3 linked regions of the Xenopus tropicalis genome follow. The protein of the gene in region 1 interacts with the protein of each later gene in a biochemical or structural test. Links are inferred from orthologs where the notes say so. Each region holds a gene or a part of one and is shown in the gene's direction. Other genes may lie near its edges.

Region 1 (7,057 bases):
AAGTCCTGTATGATACCACTGTCTGGCAATGCCTAAGATAGGTGCAGTTGGATTCTTGCGCCTGATGCTACTCCATTGTAGGTGCAATAAATGATGTTGGATGCCACGTGCACAGTGCTATATCAGTACAGGCATGGGACCCGTTATCCAGAATGCTCGGAACCTGGGTTTCTGGATGAGGGGTCTTTCCGTAATTCAGATCTCCTACCTTAAGTCTACTTAAAAAATTATTTAAACAGTAATTAAATCCAATAGGATTGGCTCCAATAAGGATTCATTATATCTTAGTTGGGATCAAGAACAAGCTACTGTTTTATTATTACAGAGAAAAAGGAAATAAGGGATAAGGGGTCCCATACCTGTAATTTCATTTAATCAGGTGTGCCTAATATTGGGAAACGTACTTAATTTTATGACCAAATTGCATTTGACTTCTCCTACCTTTCTCTCCCTTTGCCACTTTATCTCATCCCTTCTATGTTTCTAACTCACATACTCCCCTTAAGATCTGTTGTATTTATGTGGATAACACAACTTTAGGAACAATATATCACTGAGAAAGAAAGCCTTACAGAAGATACCAATACAGTATACTATAATGTTTTCTCTTTCCAAATAGACCTAGCAGCAACTATGGATATAAGATTGATGGGAAGCACTTATGGCTCCGCTTTTCTGAACCTGGTCTTGAGAAGTTTTTGTAAAGGGTGCGTCTTGATGCTTTGGAATATAAACAAACAAGAAATGATACTTCTTATACTCCTTTATATACTATGTGTAAATGGCCACTGCAATTACATTATCTACAGTTTCTCATATGAAACAACATTCACCATGTACTTTATACCATATTGGTGCTCATGGAGGTCTTTGGTGCCACTACAGTGTTTTAAGAAACACATATGAAAATGTTACATTCCTTTCCGGTATACAGTGTTTCCTATATTATCTTTAGCAGGATGGGTGAAGCAGTTTCCCCTTCATCGTGCTTTATCATGAAGTGAGGATTGCAAAGGAAACATGTACTTCTGTTTGGGAAATGTGTTGCCATCTATGAAAAGATCTTCTATGAAAAGATTTACAGATACATTTCTCAATGCAAAGAATCTACAGAGACAGAATAACAAGTTAAGTATAGATACATCCAGGCACAGGTTATTCTGCATGGGGAACCTTATTTAACTACATATTCCCATACTGGATAATCTGAAAAAAAATATGACGTCATCTATATACTGTAATGAAACAGTGCTCCCCAGTGGCCAGATGGTAGCAGTTATATATATCCTGCTTATAGCCACACACCCCAGAGCCCTGGAGTATAAATTCTGCCATGTCTGATTGCTATAATGTTTAGTCGTAAAAAAGACTGCCATCTAACCCTATCAAAAAAGGGCAGCAATTATTTCTGCCAACTCTTCTGTATATTTCTACAAAGGAGCTGGTTTGCTCATGGTGATAATGGGCAATTCTACAGGGGTTTTGCACTCCCATCCTGCCCTACTGCAGCTTCAGATACTGAGGACATTGCACACTGACTATCACTACCACCTCCATTATAAAATGTCATACCTCAAGATAGTATTGAGGATGATTATCTATTACTTTTTATTTAATTCTATTAATCATGTAAAATGATTTTTTTCTGGTGATAATTTTTAACTAAATGTTAATGTTTTAATATAAAACCTTTACTCAATATGTAAATTATTATATGATGAGGATTTTAATTCAGTAGGTAATGCCTCACACAGGAAATATTTAATTCTTCTCTTAAAGGAATACCTAAATGTGATATATATTTTTTTTACAACTGAAAAGAGTCACATAACAAAGAGATGATATTGAAAAAATATCTACTTCAGGGGGGCACATTGCCCCCTTTTAAAGTAGAAAAATCCCTTCAAAGGGTTTCAATCAGTCGGTGTGTTGAGCACTTAAAAACACCAGCACAGGCTTGATGGTGATAGGCTGAGGCATAATCCTAGTTTAAACTTTGCCATCGCTCTAGGGGTTATTATCAGCTTTTCCCATGTAGATTAAGAGAGAATCCATTAGAGATTTACATTATGACGGACTAAAGTGATGAGTTTCCATTCTGTAACTAATTCCCTAAACTCTTCTTAAACTGAAATTGAAATTTCACTAGAAGTGCAGCAGAGAGAAGAATGTGAAACACACCTGGTTTCTTTCAGAAAGGCACTAGGACCTAGAGGAAATGTGCTGCCTTATGAGTCAGCCCTAGTACTGGAGCTCCTGAAACCAGTGAATGAGAACAGACATGTGAATGGCTCAGCTGGGTTTCAAAGCATTTTGTGGACTAGGATACAAGAGGCTACAAAATAACTGGTTTAGCCAGGATTTTACCTTCTTGTGATCGACAGACACTCTGCAGCACAGGTAAGCATCTACCTAAACTCTCCTCTATGTAAATACTGACTCTGTTTATTAAACGTAAACTTTGGATTTTGATTACTACAGACGTACTGAAGCGTATAATAAAAGGATGTTTTTTCATGTAGTTTAAGCACCATCTAAACAAAGTGTGTGCTTTAGGGTAACCCCCTTGCAGGTAATTATGGGGCACTCCTAACCCTGCCACGTCTGTCGCAATAACTTCTGTAATAATGGAATTAGACTTACCATTTGAAGACATAAAGTGCCTGTCTTTTGAAAGTAGTGTGCATATTACTGCTGTGGATTTTTACTCTCTCATTTGGAGACAGACTGGGTTTAGGGAAGCAATAAATTAAGAAAGCAGCAGGTGAACCATTGTTATGAAATGAGTTTGATGAAATTGTAAGCTTTGCAAGACACAAGCTTATACCTTTACTGTATGTATTGGGCTCTTTAAGACATTCAGATTAGATCAAATAATATGCGTGGTCCATGACCTACTAGAATGCAAATTGTCTTGAATCAGTTTTTTTTTTTATAATACAACAGGTGGTTGTTTGCTATATCAGATTTTTACATATTTGCTGATTTTTCAATATATGAACTTGTAGAGTAAGTTTCTGGCTCTTGCATATGTTTCCCATGTATAAGGTGCGGAGTGCTAAAATGTGTTCCTGTTACAAGACATGCCTCTCTAGTTAACATAGCATTGAAGACTTTGTCTGATGCTATTACTTGCACTTGGATAGGAGTGTGTGTAGAAGATCATATGGGACAAAAAAAATTAACCATATACAAGCTCACCTTCATGATCTACATTCTACAAATCTTACTTAATGAGCTATAACAGAAAAAAATATTTTGCAGGCATTCCAAGCATGCCATATTAGTATTAAGCGTACAGTAAATCCTCAGTTCTGTTTAACCCCTTGGCTGTTATTAAGCATTTAAGGTCGGTGCGGAACAGACGAGGACTTGCTTGTTGTGACTTGGTTCCTATGCTCCTTAATCTTTGTTGATTGCTAATGTGAAGCCTGCAAAGCTGCCGGATAGTAATGTAACTTCTTATGGGATAAACCTTGGGTGTTTTCACGCATTAAACTGCATTACGTTAAGGCTTGTAGAGTATTAGCCAAAGCCAAGGCTGCCAGATTTCAGCTACATGAAGAGCTCTGTAATTCTTTTATACAGTGTACATTGCAATACCTGACAAAAAAGTGCACACTTTACAACTACCCATTCTCCTTTTAGATTGTAAGCTCTATTGATTAGGGCCCACTTTACCATTTGCATCAGTTACTGGTTGTAAATTTTGCCCTTCTATTGTACAATGCTGCAGAATATGTTGGTGCTTTATAAATACTTGTTAAGAATAAAAACAATAATAATATCTTAGAGTGCAATTCTTAACACCAACATTCTGTTTCTCTTCCACCACCACAAACACAGAATTGTCTGCACATATTTTGATGTGTTGTCTGCATTACTAGAGCCATGCAAGGCAATCATGTTAAACAGATGGTGTATACGAAGCAGATGTGATATTATATTTGTCTTATACTTATTTGTTAGGCATTGAGTAAACAACATGTCCTTTTACCAAGCTTCCACCAGAAATGCTGTAGATATAGTGAATGTTATCTTTGTTGATATTTTACTATCATTTATAATCACTGAATATTGTCTGTTACATTTGTTGATAACAATAATTGCATAGAAACAATTTGGAAAATATCTGTCAAACTGCCAATCATGCCTTCATTGATGTTAGACTTTTCAGATTGCTGTAGGTGCCAAATAAGAGGTGAATTAAGGCAACACGGCAGAGTATTAGGTAGGATTAGATAGAGTTTATCACATCTGTTAACCTTCTCTTTGTACAGATGTGTCTTACATTACCTGCCAGAATATGTATATTTGTAGAATATGTATATTTGTAAAGAATGTTAACTGGAGGGGTGGTGGCTCAGGACAGCTTTATTGGGGTAAGACATGTGACTTTTTTTTTAAAAAAAAGCAGGCAATGATATTGGAAGGACCTGATAGTTTTGCCTACTGTACACTGGGGGCTCAGCTGTTCAGTAACTGGGGACAGTGTTATATCCATAGCTTCCATAGCAATTGTTCTATTGTACACAGCACAAGCCTGGAAACATCAATGTTGTTGATGCCAAAGGCACATATTACTTTTTTTTTATAAATAAAAGTCTGTTGCAGACGAAAGTAACAGAGACAGCTTGAAGGATTGGATTGTTCCCATACTAACCTGGATTCCTTGCCAACTATTATTAACCTCTGTGCAACCATACTACATATATGGCAGTATGAGGTTTATGCTACCTACAATAGAGGTATCTAAAGCACTGTTATATAATGTATAAAATGTACTGTACTTTGTGAAGTCGCTGAAAATGTATACCATAAATTATAGTCATATGGTGAAGATGCCTAGCTATATTTATGCTGTTGACTCCCTTCATAAGTGGTCCTCTCTGCAGCTCCCATCTAGACACCTAAAGCAGCCAAGTCTATCTTTTGACTCTCAGCGCACCACTGCCTGATGGAAAGCAGAGGGAGAAAGGTTGTGCAGTAGGCATAATGGGAGAGCCTAGACGCTGTTTCTTTTCTTAGAGGCTACCTTTAGGAGCAGTAAGAGTAGTCAGGAGTGACCAATGTATTTTAAATCATGCTTGAGGTAAGAGACAAAAATAAACAGTGGATCCAACCCTACAGCATATATTGACATATACTGACACAAACATATATATTTAAATATGAACTATAAGTGTTATAAATAGAACTTATGGTCATATTTTTCCCATACAAATTACAATATCAGTGGTATTACACCTTTGGTAAGAATATTTAGATTTTGGCAGCCTCATTTCTATAACAGTGATTGACGTAAAACGAATAGTTTAGTCTGCCATCAAATGAGGGACAGATTCATTGCATTTAGCTAGTGGCAAACCCCAGCTAAGTAATCTTCCCATATATGGAGGAAGCCCAAAACTCTAGAGTGTAATTTGTCAGTTCCTGTATATTTTAAAGAGGTGGGAGAGGGGGAATGTAATTCTTTGACTTCACTTTACAGTAATTAGTTATGTTCCTTTCCCAGGTCAGGAGGATTTGCATTTATTTAAAACGTGTCCTATGTCAGTGGTTTTACTAAAGCGAACTTCAGAATAATAAATGGCACTGATTTTAAAAGTCAGTGTATTCTTTTATTGGAGATTCTGCTGTAACACATGCTGGCATTATGTTAGTTACACAATGATCTTCAACCTGTGGCTGAACTACAAATCCCAGAAACCCCTAAAAGTTACCTTTCGTTGAGGGATGTTGAGAGCTTTAAAATAACAACAACTGGAGAGCCGTATGCTAAAGTGACCTAAAATACAGTTCTTTTTTTATTGATTTAGACAGCTTAACTGAATGGAATAAATATTTATCTCAATATCTAATCGGAATGAAGGGGTCCATTTTCTGTTAGGCAAAACTATTAATTAATTGCCATCAGTTTCAATGTATTGTGTGTTCTATTTTAAATGCAAGCTTATTATGGCTACTATGGCACATGTAGCTGCAAACACAAGATTACATGCAATTTAAGTCATTTTGCTATTTGCAGAGGTGCCTAGATACACTTATCACATCTGATACCTAGGGGCTGATTTACTAACCCACGAATCCGACCCGAATTGGAAAAGTTCCGACTTGAAAACGAACATTTTGCGACTTTTTCGTATGTTTTGCGATTTTTTCGGCGTCTTTACGAATTTTTCGTTACCAATACGATTTTTGCGTAAAAACGCGAGTTTTTCGTAGCCTTTACGAAAGTTGCGTAAAATCTTGCGATTTTTCCGTAGCGTTAAAACTTACGCGAAAAGTTGCGCCTTTTTCGTAGCGTTAAAACTTAAAAGGTGCGAAGTTTCGCGTAAGTTTTAACGCTACGAAAAAAGCGCAACTTTTTGCGCAAGTTTTAACGCTACGAAAAATCGCAAGATTTTACGCAACTTTCATAATGGCTACGAAAAACTCGCGTTTTTACGCAAAAATCGTATTGGTAACGAAAAATTTGTAAAGACGCCGAAAAAATCGCAAAAAATACGAAAAAATCGCAAAATACCGATCTTTACGAAAAAAACGCAATCGGACTCATTCCGACCCGTTTGTGGGTTAGTAAATCAGCCCCCTAGTGTCGATGCACCAGTTCAGCCTGCTCTGAAGTTTAGCACAGTTGAGTGCAAGGTAGAAAATATAGGCCCTATATTGAGGATGTTACATCCAGGGTTGCCCCTACACATGCGACTGACTTGCCAGCAACATTAATTAAACCCATGCAATGTGTTTATTTTTTATTATACACCGGAGTAGCTTTGAATACTGGCCCCTGGCAATGAGTCTAGCAGAGCATCAATCCACACATGGATTTTGATTGCAGTAGTGGTTTATTTACTTTAAATGATAAATGGTTACTATAAATGGAATAAGCATAATTGGTTTTCCATGTGTACAACCTACAGCAAGTGTACCTTTAGCATTTCTTTGCTTATCTTGTTTGCTCTCTGCCCTTCAATATTCATCATATATCTGAGCTCTTTTTAATTATTATTGCACTGGCAGAGCTTTATTGGCAGGCATGTCATAATAAAGAGAC
Region 2 (6,263 bases), about 18 Mb from region 1:
GATTTTTTTCTCGAATTGTCGCAACTTTTTCGTCACTGTCACCATTTTTTTGCGTATTGACGTGACTTTTCGGCGCCGTCGCGAAATAATCGTACTGTCGCGCCGAGTACGAAAGTTTGGGATTCATTCAAGCTTCAGTATTGTGACTTTCCTTGGGCCAGGTTGGAGCTGCAGAGTGCCATTGAGTCCTATGGGAGGCTTCCAAAATCATGCAAAGTCGCAAAGGTTTGCCCGCCGTTTACGAGCGCTCAATACGAAAAAGTCACGACAATTCATGGAAAAGTTGTGACGGCGACGCAGAAATTGCAAAAAATACGAAAAAGTTACAGAATGGTCGTTTCCAATCCGATTTTTTCCCATTTGGGATTCGGATTCATGGATTAGTAAATGTACCCCTAAGTATGTTATCTACTTACTTACATGTACTAAATGTAAAAAACAATATGTGGGCCAAACTAGCAGAAAACTCAAGGACAGAATCAAAAATGTTATTCCACAGTAGCAAAGCACTTTAATGACTGTTCCAATAGATCTCTGTCCTATTTAAATATCATAGGGATTGATAGAGTAATCCCAGGTCCTCGAGGGGGAGACATCATTCAGACTGTAATAAGAAAAGAAACCAAATGGATTTTTTTTCTCAAAACCAGACAACCGAATGGTTTAAATTTTGAATATGATGTAACCTGTTATGTATAATAATTGTGTTCTTAACTTGCCTATAATATTGGATTTTCACTCTCACAATTGAGATTTAAGTTTCAATAAGTTCAATAATCAAAATAAATTCCAATAAAATTAGGATTTATCAATCTTACTGAACAAATACATGCACGGAATCAGTATGCGAGATGCCAGGCTCCCCCCTACTGCCTCCTCTAGCAGGGTCACCTAGAGAAGTAATCACTCATTAATGCCTTGCTTCTCAACCTGTCTATCAAAAGGAGCACATCATAAACTGAGAGGATTCAACTTGAGGTTTACTTCAAGGAGCTCCCTCCCTCTTCACCTCAATAGCATGCAGGCTTGATGTTCCGTTGCCTGCCTGCCTGCTTCAAACAGTTCCATTCCTGCCTGCTTGTAAAGGCTCTCCCTCCCCCTCCCCATTAGACACAGACACCGAAGCTGAAAGCAGGGAGCGTGTGATGTCACGCCAGGGGGCGGGGCAAGGAACCAGGAAGGAGCGGAGCACAGAAGAGCACACAGGGAATCAGGTAGCAGAGGGTGTTAATTGGAGCGACTCGAGTATAAGCCGAGGGTTAATTTTTCAGCACATTTTGGGAGCTGAAAAACTTGGTTAATACTCGAGTATATACGGTATGTTGTAAATGTTAGTTATCCTATGATTAAGTACCCTATTGGTACGAAACGCGTAAGGCTTTTGTTTTTTTTTTAAACACAAGATTATTTGCCCCAAGTTTTTAAAGGAGAAGAAAAGGAGTAGCTAGAATAGGCGGTGACAGTGTGTTAGGCACCTCCCAGTTATTATACCTCCGAACTAGGCACGGGGTGCTGTTATTCTTGATCCCTGTATCAGCAATCCCTTATGGCTGCCCTGGCTGTTTTGGATTTGGCAAAGGGTTTCGGGTAAATCCTAATATGCAAATTTGAATTTCTGGGAGAAAGAATTGTCAATTTCCAAGTAACGTGGTCTAAATTCATCTTTCTACCAGGCACTTGAATTGTACCAAAAAAGGCTTGGATTCGGCAGACTCCCAAACCGAATAGTGTATCCCTACTTCGCATTAAATATATAATATTCTCCCTAAATTTTGTACTTAAGGTTCATGGAACATATTCTTAAATGACATGTAAACCCCCCACACACAAATGTAATCAGTGAACAGCCTCTTTTCAAAACCTGCCACTGGTTGTCCAGAGGTTAATAGTAAAGGTAGGCATACACGGGCCAATTGTAGCTGCCGATATCTGTCCCTTGTTCCCTTTACCAAAGAACAATATAGGAAAGTATGCTTTCATCGTTTTGCATATATAACTTTTTTTTTAGTTTTGTTTCTTTAATCATATAAAGATATGCGAACGCTTTGTAATTCAACGTGTATCTGATAAAAATCAGGTTGTTAATACAACCTCAGGCTTTTCCTATGTAAATATATGGTAGTATAGGTATGAGACCTGTATCCAGAACGCTCAGGAGTCTATTGGATATGGCCTTCAAAGCTTTCTGGATAGCAGGTTTCCGGGTAACAGATCCTATAACTGTACTATATATCTGTTCAAATGAGAGAAAACCTCATTCACACTATACACCAGAAAATGTGAACTGAGGTGTGCCCTGATGAAGTCCTGGGCACTGCAGAAGTTCTTTCTTTCGGTACTTGTGATACATGTCCTGTACCGCATATCTAATTGGGTTTTTTTTAATTATGTTTTTATATTTGCATAGTTCAAGTTCATAGTTCATACATCAGTAATGAGTGTTATTCATTTTTCAGCCTTCTGAATACATTTATAGCTTCAGTATTTTCATTTGATAAGGAAAAATGTGCATACTCGGCATCCAAAAATTAAGGCATTTTGAACATGCTTAATTCTTTAGCGAACACCAGGGGACCCAGGCACTCACCCCCTTTTTACTTATAATTTTTTTGAAATGCATAGTATTCATAGCATTTACATGCCTTTTTTTCTTCTTTAGATTACATTTGGCCTGTTTTTCCCCAGGAAATTATGCACAATAGTCTGTGCATACTTTGCAAATTTGCTGATTTTCTGTCTACATTGAACTGAATTTCTAAACAGTACATTGCTTTGTTTTACAACAGACTTTCTGCAGGTGCAAAACAGTACAACCTTTCACACTATCTTAGAATTTGCCAAGATAAAGGCTTTAAGGGGATGTAAACCCAAAAAACTACATTTTGCCTAATAAAAGAAAATTTAATTTCTTTTTTCCATCAGCAATATACTGTGGTTTTGACTGACAGACCACAGTATGTTGTTAGTAAAAACACCTCTAGAATCCTAAGACTGAGTACAGGCTGTGTGCTTGCTCGGCTAACATATGACTGCATTGCTAAATTCAATTCTAGCTACATTATCAAGTTCACAGATCACACAACAGTATATCTGTTTTGACAATTAGTTTCAAGAGACAGAACTTGTAGTTTAGAAAGGGACACAAAAATACTACTTTCAGTTGCAATTCTGTTTTTGTTGTGGATATATATTGGAAAGTTGCTTAGAATGTAAATTAACATTTTTTTGTCTTTAATGAATGTAATTAAAAGCTGTCCTCTTTATAACCCATATATTAATTAATCTGGCTCATCATTTTTTCAATAACCGCTTTATTTTGTAAATCCTCATCATCTTAGGGCTGCATTTTTAGATCAGTTCCATTTATATGGCTACAATAAGATGTATTTATCCCCATGAGAGACTTAAATCCGATACACTAAATTTAGCTACAGTTAGACCATCTGACACTGGCAAAGATTAAAGTGAAGTAGAAGTATAGAAGCCTTCTTTTTAATTATGCTGTTTTCTAGGTCTGTTCATTGTTACCAAGCTGTAATATTTTACTGTTTTCCTTCAGGTTCTCCATAGATGAGGGCCAGTGCTGGTTCTATTACAAGTTCACGAATGATTCTTTCATATTTACTGGCCTAGCATCTGAGCCAGGTGCTCTTTCTCTGAATGTGACCATATGGGGATATCAGCCTGGTGTTATTCGCCACATCTGGATGTCTTACACTATTGATTTTGCTCATCTTTTACACAAAGACTGTGAGTCTTCTAGAATTTGGTTTTCCTGATGTTCTGTGTCATTGATACACTTCTTTTAGGGCACATTTTTTTCACTGTAGTGTATACCAGAAAAAACAGAAGCAGAATAATCAAATCACTTCCCATCATAGGTAATAGAAATTATTGTAAAAAAAGGTTGGAAAACAGATTATAGATCTTATAGATAATGGATTTTTAACTTAGAAAATTCATGGTTTTACAGTGAAAAATGGCATAAATGCTGCTGTTATTTATTGCATTTTTCTCTTGCACTTGACCACTTGTCATATGATTATACCTGTATTTAGCAAATAAGGTTAAAAAACATTTTCACATTAACATTTATTCCTCCAATCTTGTCTTATTTGTTTTACTCATGTCACCTATAATGGACTTTTGTGATGCGTGACATGGTCGTTTCTGTTCAGGTGAAGAAAAGGATTACATTTTGTGGCTGGCACACTCAACTGATCCTCAGGCACCTTTGGATGGTTGTGTTTTGGGATACAAGGAGCAGTATTTTCGGCTACGCAAATCTTCAGTGTGCCAGAATGGGCGTGATTATACAGTGAGCAAAGTACACACACCTTGTGCTTGCACCCTGGATGACTACATGTGGTACTGATGCTCGTGTTTATTCATATCTTAAAACATCCAATGTAATCAGCTTAAAGGACACCTCCAGAGATATCCAATCTCTTTTCTTTCTTGTCAGCGATTTTGGTTATTATCGTAACGAGAATGAATCAGAGTGTGTGGAGCAGTCAGAGCTAAAGGGACAGGAACTGGATCTGTGTGTATATGGAGAAGAAGAGAAGCTTACCACTAGTGGGTAAGTACATTGCACAGACCAAAACAATATGGCAAGGTATCATCTACTACTATTATAGAGATAATTGGTCAGATTCAGATCAATGAGAATATAGCATAAAAACTTATGGACGAGATACAGTTTTTCTCCTTATTCATTTTTAGTTTTTCCGATAGACTTAGGGGCTGATTTACTAAGACACGATTTCGAATCCGAATTGGAAAAATTCAGATTGGAAACGAACATTTTGCGACTTTTTCGGTAATTTTGCGATTTTTTTCGTATTTTTTGCGATTTTTTTCGTATTTTTTGCGATTTTTTTCGGTGTCTTTACGATTTTTGCGTAAAAACGCGAGTTTTTCGTAGCCATTGCGAAAGTTGCGCAAAGTCGCGATTTTTTCGCAGCGTTAACACTTGCGCGCAAAGTCGCGCCTTTTTCGTAGCGTTAAAACTTAAAAGGCGCGACGTTTCGCGCAAGTTTTAACGCTACGAAAAAATCGCGACTTTGCGCAACTTTCGTAATGGCTACGAAAAACTCGCGTTTTTACGCAAAAATCGTAAAGACGCCGAAAAAATTGCAAAAAATACGAAAAAATCGCAAAATTACCGATCATTACGAAAAAACCGCAATCGGACGCATATGGCCCATTCGTGGGTTAGTAAATGTGCCCCTTAGAGTTTTAATGTGGTAAACAGTGAGATAAGTTTTGTTAAGTTTAGGTAAGTATATATATATATATATATATAACAATACTGTCACTGCACTCATCCATAGTGCGAACCCCGGAGCACACGGGTTATTTGCAAAAAAGTGTATTAAAAAGAATCACATATGCGACGTTTCGGACAAAACACATGCCCTTTATCAAGCCTGTAATAACGCGATCCATCCAGTGAATCGCATTTAAAGGGATATACAGGAAATGACATCATAGACTAAGCGTTCCCATAGCGATTCATTTCAAGTCATAGTATACATTTTACATATACAGGACGTTGTCAGTCAAATAGCAGCATCTTATATAGAAAAAATGTGCAGTTGCATACAAATACTTACAAAAAGAGAAACAAATCATAATCCCTGTTCAATCCAATAGGAAAAAGCGATTGTAATTTATTAATCCACCACACCTCCCTTTGTTTCAGCCTAAATTCCCTGTCACCTCCTCTTTTTAGAGGTGGTATAGATTCCAATACCATGAACCTGAGCTGTTCTGCAGTGTGGCCCTTTTCACAAAAATGCTTAGACACCAGTAATGTAGTATTTCCAAGATTAATAGTTGATCGATGTTGTCATATACGGGATTTTACCATCTGTGTGGTCTCACCCACATAGATGAGACCACACGGACAGATCAACACATAAATTGCATATTTTGTTACACATGTGAAGTGCCCCCGTAATTGTACCTTTTGAGGCACCCCCTATGATATCATACCGTAGAGGGAGAACTACACTTTTCTAGGAGCAAAAAGGAAGTTGTTTTGTGCATCCAAAAACAGGTCAGAAGGTACAATTATGGTTGTAAATGTGATTCACTGGATGGATCGCGTTATTACAGGCTTGATAAAGGGCATGTGTTTTGTCCGAAACGTTGCATATGTGATGTGATTCTTTTTAATACACTTTTTTGCAAATAACCCGTGTGCTGCATCTTTTTCAAGTTTTATATATATATATATAATCTATATATTATTGTTA
Region 3 (7,007 bases), on another chromosome or scaffold:
ATTATTTGCTTATAATGGAGTCTATGGGAAATTGCCTTTCCATAATTCAGAACTTTCTGGATAACGGGTTTCCGGATCCCATACCTGTAAATGTAAAACAGTGCTGCTAAATGTTCACCTTTGCCTAGCTTCATTATAAATCTCTATGAGGTGGCTCTTGAATTCATCACTGTCAGAAAGTATGTTTCTGGGATTCAGCTATAAAGGCCTGCTTCCTTTTCTTCCCAGAACCCTTTGCTACAGAGAGGATGTGGCTGCTTGATGGATAATTTCATCTAATTTGGCCTGCCTTTGCTCTTTGTGGCCCCAGAATAATGCCATAACAAGGGACATGGGTCAGTGGGATTTTCCTTCCTTACTGGGTGAGAACAGTCAGATTTCCCTCTGCCCACTGCTGCCTTGTTCCTGACAAACCCCAAATGCCCCAGGCCATAAATTCCAGACATCCGTCCATTGCAATCCTATAAGGCTGATTCCTCTTTAGAGACCCCAAATCCCCTGCAGCTGTTTAACTCATGAGACCCTGATACTAAAAGACTTGTCTACACATAAAGGCAAACTATGGCATTTGTAGCCAATGAGCACCAATTGACCAACTTAATCCAGTGACTTTACTTAAGATGACCTTATAATGGTGTGGTTGCCAAATGAGCGTCTCTTTGCCCAATTTGCCTACCCAGGTACATGCCCAAATTGGGCTGATCCAACCTTTGGTGCAGGGGACAATTGGATTATACTGCGGTACTGTGGAGACCCATTAGGTGAAAACTGCATTAATGCCCAAAATATATTTACCTGATGTTTGGACAGGCAGGTCCTCCCAGGAGTACCATACAGGGGCCATTTTAACTGGTTGACGTATGGCCAGCATTATTCCCTGGCTTTCACTGCATATGGAGATAGCTTTCTCACAAAATACATTTGCTTATTTAGTAAATAGGGTGGGGGAGGTGCTTGGCCAGGGGCCACTGGTAATGAGCAGCTTGCTCACTTATTTTGGCAGCAGTTTTTCCTGCTGCAGGGCATAATTGTCTATACACTGCTGTCCCCTAGTTACAGCCATGACAGCCATGACTTTATTCCTAACATATTGCTTTAAATACATGTCAGCCTGTACATATCAGTAAATAACAACAGAAGCAGGCTAAAGACTTTGGTGGTTGGAGAACCTGAACCAAAGAGCTTACATTCTTAATAAGTGCAGCTTCGTCTGATCTACAAACCAGGTTTTAGAATAGTCAGCCCTAATATAAATTTTGCTGAAATATTTTGTCTTTGCTATACACACAATGCTACAGTTACAGCGTCTGCCCCAACGCTGTCTTGCCTTACTATACACACTGTGCCACAACATAAGCTTTTCCCTATTACAGCCCCTTCGCCTGAACCCACTTTGCCTTATGCTACATAATACAGGTATGGGATCCGTTATCCGGAAACCCGTTATCTAGAAAGCTCCGAATTACGGAAAGCCTGTCTCCCACAGACTCCATTTTAATCAAATAATTCAGAATTTTAAAAATGATTTCATTTTTCCCTGTAGTAATAAAACCGCACCTTCTGCTTGACTCCAGTTAAGATATAATTAATCCTTATTGGATACAAAACAAGCCTATTGGGTTTAATTAATGTTTTAGTAGATTTTTTTAGTAGACTTAAGGTATGGAGATCCAAATTACGGAAAGACCCCTTATCTGGAATACCCTTGGTCCTGAGCATTCTGGATAACGGGTCCTATACCTGTACCATATGAATTGCTATACAGGTATAGGACCCATTATCCAGAATGCTCGGGACCAAGGGTATTTCCGTAATTTGGATCTCAATACCTTAAGTCAACTAAAAAATCAATAAAACATTAATTAAACCCAATAGGATTGTTCTGCATCCAATAAGGATTAATTATATCTTAGTTGGAATCAATTACAAGGTTCTGTTTTATTTCTACATAGAAAAAGGAAATCAGTTTTAAAATTCTGAATTATTTGATTAAAATGGAATCTATGGGAGACGGGCATTACGTAATTCGGAGCTTTCTGGATAACGGGTTTCCGGATAAGGGGTCCGATACCTGTACTATGCATTCCCACTATCCCACAGTTACAGAACTTTCTTTAAACCATCGTGCCCGACTTTACCCATAATCGCAGTTACAGCCCTGGGTTTGGCGGGGGGCACTGCAGTGGTGCCACAGTGCCAGCTTGGCAGATTATTTCCCGTTGCAGGCTGCTGCTGCGCAGACAGATGGAAGCAGTGTGCAGAGGCGCAGCTGTAAGTACAGTTCTGCTGTTACACAGGCTTTTTACAAACCCAAAGGGAAAACAGAGAAACTTATTTAAAGACAAGAGTGCTCAGTGTTCTCCCTCCCCATACATGATGTTGTATGATATCTGCCCTTGAGGATATGTAATGGCACCCCCAGACTAATTCCAAGAATGCCTAATGCCTTCCCCCTGGCACCCCTTCCCATTACCTGTGCCCCCTGCCCATTGCTTAAAAGCTCTATTATCTTCCTGCCAAACCCCAAGTGTGCACAGTAAGCCCCACTAAGACAATAAAGAGGAGATCAAGAGAATAAAAAAGGCTGCCTCTTCCTTTTCTTTTTTTCTGTCTCCTAATGAGCAGTTAAGTGTATATGGGGCTCCCATCCAAATAACCTTCCCTAAATCCAATCCCTGCCACCACCAGTCTTTGCTTGTTCAAGAGGCTCTCAGTGTAGAAGGGGAGGGGCTGTGGGTGACAGTGGGCGTGGCCTGTGGGGATGACTGGGCTTGCTGGTGGGAGGACAGCTAAGAGGGTGGTTTTCATAAGCAGAAGGGGATGGATTCTTAAGGCTTAAGGGGCAGGTGTTGCTGAATCCTACAGAGCTGCATTCTGCATCTGCTTATCTGCCCTCAGCCATCAGCTTTATAGGATCAGCATGGAAACCCCTCTGTTTATTATCCTGTGCTGCATGGTAAGTGCCTGAGATGTGCCGGCTGCCTGTGTGTGGGGATTGAACTCTGTAATGCAAGTGGTCCTTCTTGGCTGTCCAATGGGGTATGGAGGATGCTCTGAGCATCTCCCTGTGTGCTGCTTGGGTTATTATCCATACAGCTAAATGTGTGTTAGAATAGGAGTTTCATATTTGATGCTACCATAAAGTGCAGCCACAGCCATCAAGGTTTATTTTTCCTTTGCCTTAATATTTGCTTTTTGCCTAATATCTGGGCTCTAGGGTCACAATTTCATGGCACTAGTATAGTTAAAGTTTTATTGGGGAAGGGGGTCATACAGTTTGCCCTGCAGCCCCCAGCAGTTTATTGGCACTTTGAGTGCCCTGCAGGGGTTAAGACACCCAACGCAGCACCGTGCCATGGGGACTCTGCAGTATTGTATGGATTGTTGTAGTGTTTATGTTTACAGGGTGGGAAGCCCAGGGAAGGGGTGGTCTGAGGTCGGTATCTGCAGTGCACTAGGGTTTGGCTGCTGGATAATGCAGTGGTGATAATTACCTTCCTATTACTGCGCACACAAAATCTCTCCGTGCTCAGATTTCAGCACAAGCGGCACAATGCCTGCTCTTCAGTCCACAAGCTCCCAGGCTTCCACTCAAACCTCCCCCCCTCCTCAGCAAAAATCCATTAATGGAAGGGATGAGCTGGGCTGTCAGATGAATGGACGCTGTCACTGTCCCTTTCCTTGGCACAGTCCATCCTTGCTGGCTTTGGTAACATGTGCCACCCCCTTACTCTCTCACCAAGGGCTGTGTGCCAGTCAAAGGGCTGGGGAGGAGGCGGTGGAATTGTCGGGGATCCCCCTGTTCTGCGTCATCCATGGAACCTGTGCTAAATGAGACTTTGGTTTTCCTCCATCAGTCTCTGGAACTGGTACAGGAGATCTCTGTGTATAACACTAGCGTATGCTGTGGGATAGTGTCCTTATGTGGCACCGTGCCTATTAATACTGTAAAGCACTGAATGGCAATACAAAAGCAATGTAAACATAAATGCATGCAGGTCGCTACTGCTAGAACAGTATAAGAAGGTCCAAGCTGTCTGTCAATTGACTGCAATGTTAATAAAGTGTGCAAATGTGTAGCATTTATATCTAACCAATGCTGGGTTCTATGTGTGTATGGCACTTCCTATCAGTCTGACCCTGGCTGGCTCTGGGTATTTGTGTGCAGAACTATATAGCAAACTCAGTCTGGGTGCATGTGTGTGGGACTTTCTATCTATCTGACTTGGGTGCATGTATGTGGGACTTTCTATCTATCTGACTTGGGTGCATGTATGTGGGACTTTCTATCTATCTGACTTGGGTGCATGTATGTGGGACTTTCTATCTATCTGACTTGGGTGCATGTGTGTGGGACTTTCTATCTATCTGACTTGGGTGCATGTATGTGGGACTTTCTATCTATCTGACTTGGGTGCATGTGTGTGGGACTTTCCATCTATCTGACCCTGGGTGCATGTGTGTGGGCCATTCTGTCTGACCCTGGGTGCATGAGCGTTAAACTTTCTATCTGACTTGGGTGCATGTATGTGGGACTTTCCATCTATCTTACTTGGCTGCATATGCGTGGGACTTTCTATCTATCTGACTTGGGTGCATGTGGGTGGGACTTTCTATCTATCTGACTTGGGTGAATGTGTGTGGGACATTTTATCTATCTGAATCTGGGTGCATGGGTTACACTGGGTGAATGTATCAGTTTATTGTAAATGCTCTATATGCTCTACTTTAAACTGCACCCTGCACCCTGGGTGCATATGTGTGGCATATTATATCAGATTGACTCAGGGTGGTCCTTTATATTACGCTAACTGCTCATACAAATAAGGGCACCACTTCCATGTTATGTTTTATCTGTTGTTAGGAATTTAATAAACAAGTTGGGAAAGGCTAGGCAACGTGAGACATGTTTGTTAGTGAAATACTTGGAAGAGGCTTTTGGATGTTATTGCAGTTTGCCACAGACTTGTTCTGGATGGTGACTTGAGAAGGGAAACTATGAATGTACTTGTGATTTGTAATGGGGTGTCTGCATTGGTTGGCAAGTCTTCTCCTAGATGAGGAGCTCTGGAGATGACAAAGTGGTGAGTTTATGGGTTTATGTGTGAGGCCGCTCTGAATGGACACAAATTGGGCGGGTGCCTCTGTATAGGATAACAATCATAGGTTTATGTGTAAGAGGGGCTGTAATGGGGAGGAAAGTAGATTTTGGATGGAGCTCTGATTTTGGGTGGGAAGTTTTGCAAACTTTTCTGGATAGCCAAGGCTGGGTAAGTGAGTGGGTGTTGTAGATCAACTGCTAAATGCCTGTTGTGTTTTTAGATAAACAAAAACATTCATCCATCACTGTCCTGTTTCCTTGGGCTTCCAAACTTTTCCTTTGCAATTAAACGCTGTAGTCTTATGCCGGCAGAGGGACTGTGGGTTTTGCTAAATTGCCTTTGAGATGTTCAGCAATGGTGGGATTACTGCTCCTCAAAAGCCAGCATTAATTAGGAATGTGGAACTTTATATGGTTTGGCCACAGGCATTCCATTAAGATGACATGCGTAATATTTTACTACTTACTACACCATGGAAAAAATTATATACATAGTTTTGGCTTAGTGGGTTTAGGTAAGGCTTTTTTTTTGTTTATTTTCATTGTTTTTCTCATGTATGTATATATAACATAGAAGATACACGACAGGATAAGGAGAGCAATACTTTCATGTAGAAGACTGATATATCCAGGAATTATCCACATATAGAGGAAATAAATTGTCTAGATTTTCTACAAATGGGGTTCTTGGCATTTCTCTTGGGGGACCCAGATAAAATTGGTATTCTGCTTTGGAACCCAAGAATGCACTTTATTAAAATGAATGCTGTTAAAAGAGATTTAGAAGGATAATAGAGACCCACCCAGAACAGCATGGGGTCCCATTTTTGGATCCCCATGCATATGTTAAGAATACCTGTTCTAGAGAGATCTAGAGGATTTGTGGATTGTGGAAACATGTGAGGGAGCTATGTGTTTATGTCAGCCATGTCTAGTCATTCTTTGAATTCTCACGGAAATGCTTAAAAGAACTTGTAAATGTAGATATTTTGGATTTGTTGTTATAGTAATTGGAATAGTACAGGCTAGATCTTTGGGTTACCAAACAATTCCTGAGCTGTTTATGGTTAGGAAGTAACCATAAGAAAGAAAAGTACATGGTTTTTATTGTGGACATTCAAGGTAGTCTGCACCGCCCAACTCCCAGTTATAGTCTGGAAGCCCAGGATATAATATCCACCATAACTGCATGCTGAGATGCTTGTGCTTATAGCTCTGTTGGTGTGAAGGCTGGCATAGTTTGTATTTTATGGATGCAAGTCCTCCATGTATCTGCTAATAGGGGCTGTTATTTTCTATAGAACATCGAGGTTCTCAGGTAAAACAGTTCCAGATAGCATGAAACCACATTCCAAGCTGCTACTCGTTACCACGCCCAGAGCTAAATGCATTCTGGAGTGGCAGGTAGACAGAGTGACAGCTACTACGGCTGATGGAGTGCGATACACATCGCTCATATGCAGGTTGCGCAGGAATGGGCACGACCAGCCTTCCCACCAGTAAATGTGCTGACTCATAACCATCCCAGCTATTAAATATAGCACTAAAAGCCTTGGTTAAATTAGAAGCAATTGACCCATTATGTAGAGACCAGATAAAAGGCAACCTGAAGAGCATGTGTGGGACTTTTTCCTATTTACTTGTCAGGGCACCCAACCATCTGGCTCTGTGTCAGTCTAATCTATTTTTTATGGCTTTTATTATCAACATTTTTAATTTATTTAGTATACGTATATTGCATAGCAACTTTACTTGGTCCCAGTGGAGCTTACCATCTAATTTCCCTTTCTCTACACAACCACACAATTTGATCTTAAACCCATTAACGTACTAATCTATCTATCTATCTATCTATCATCTATCTATCATCTATCTATCATCTATCTATCTATCTATCATCTATCTA

Evidence for each region.
Region 2: the proteins of ngf (region 1) and sort1 form a complex in vitro, tested with the Homo sapiens proteins (3 studies listed by BioGRID and IntAct, with this or other methods). The link is inferred for Xenopus tropicalis from reciprocal best matches to the Homo sapiens genes NGF and SORT1.
Region 3: the proteins of ngf (region 1) and ngfr form a complex in vitro, tested with the Homo sapiens proteins (2 studies listed by BioGRID and IntAct, with this or other methods). The link is inferred for Xenopus tropicalis from reciprocal best matches to the Homo sapiens genes NGF and NGFR.

What each region holds. Positions count from the first base shown.
Region 1 is NC_030678.2:52,933,122-52,940,178, forward strand, and holds the start of ngf (beta-nerve growth factor precursor), read left to right. Parts: upstream 1-2,349; 5' UTR 2,350-2,400; intron 2,401-7,057. UniProt on the Homo sapiens protein: Nerve growth factor is important for the development and maintenance of the sympathetic and sensory nervous systems.
Region 2 is NC_030678.2:71,417,293-71,423,555, reverse strand, and holds part of sort1 (sortilin), read left to right. Parts: intron 1-3,559; coding exon 3,560-3,750; intron 3,751-4,178; coding exon 4,179-4,368; intron 4,369-4,465; coding exon 4,466-4,582; intron 4,583-6,263.
Region 3 is NC_030686.2:14,204,286-14,211,292, forward strand, and holds the start of ngfr (tumor necrosis factor receptor superfamily member 16), read left to right. Parts: upstream 1-2,808; 5' UTR 2,809-2,920; coding exon 2,921-2,956; intron 2,957-7,007. UniProt on the Homo sapiens protein: Low affinity receptor which can bind to NGF, BDNF, NTF3, and NTF4. Forms a heterodimeric receptor with SORCS2 that binds the precursor forms of NGF, BDNF and NTF3 with high affinity, and has much lower affinity for mature NGF and BDNF.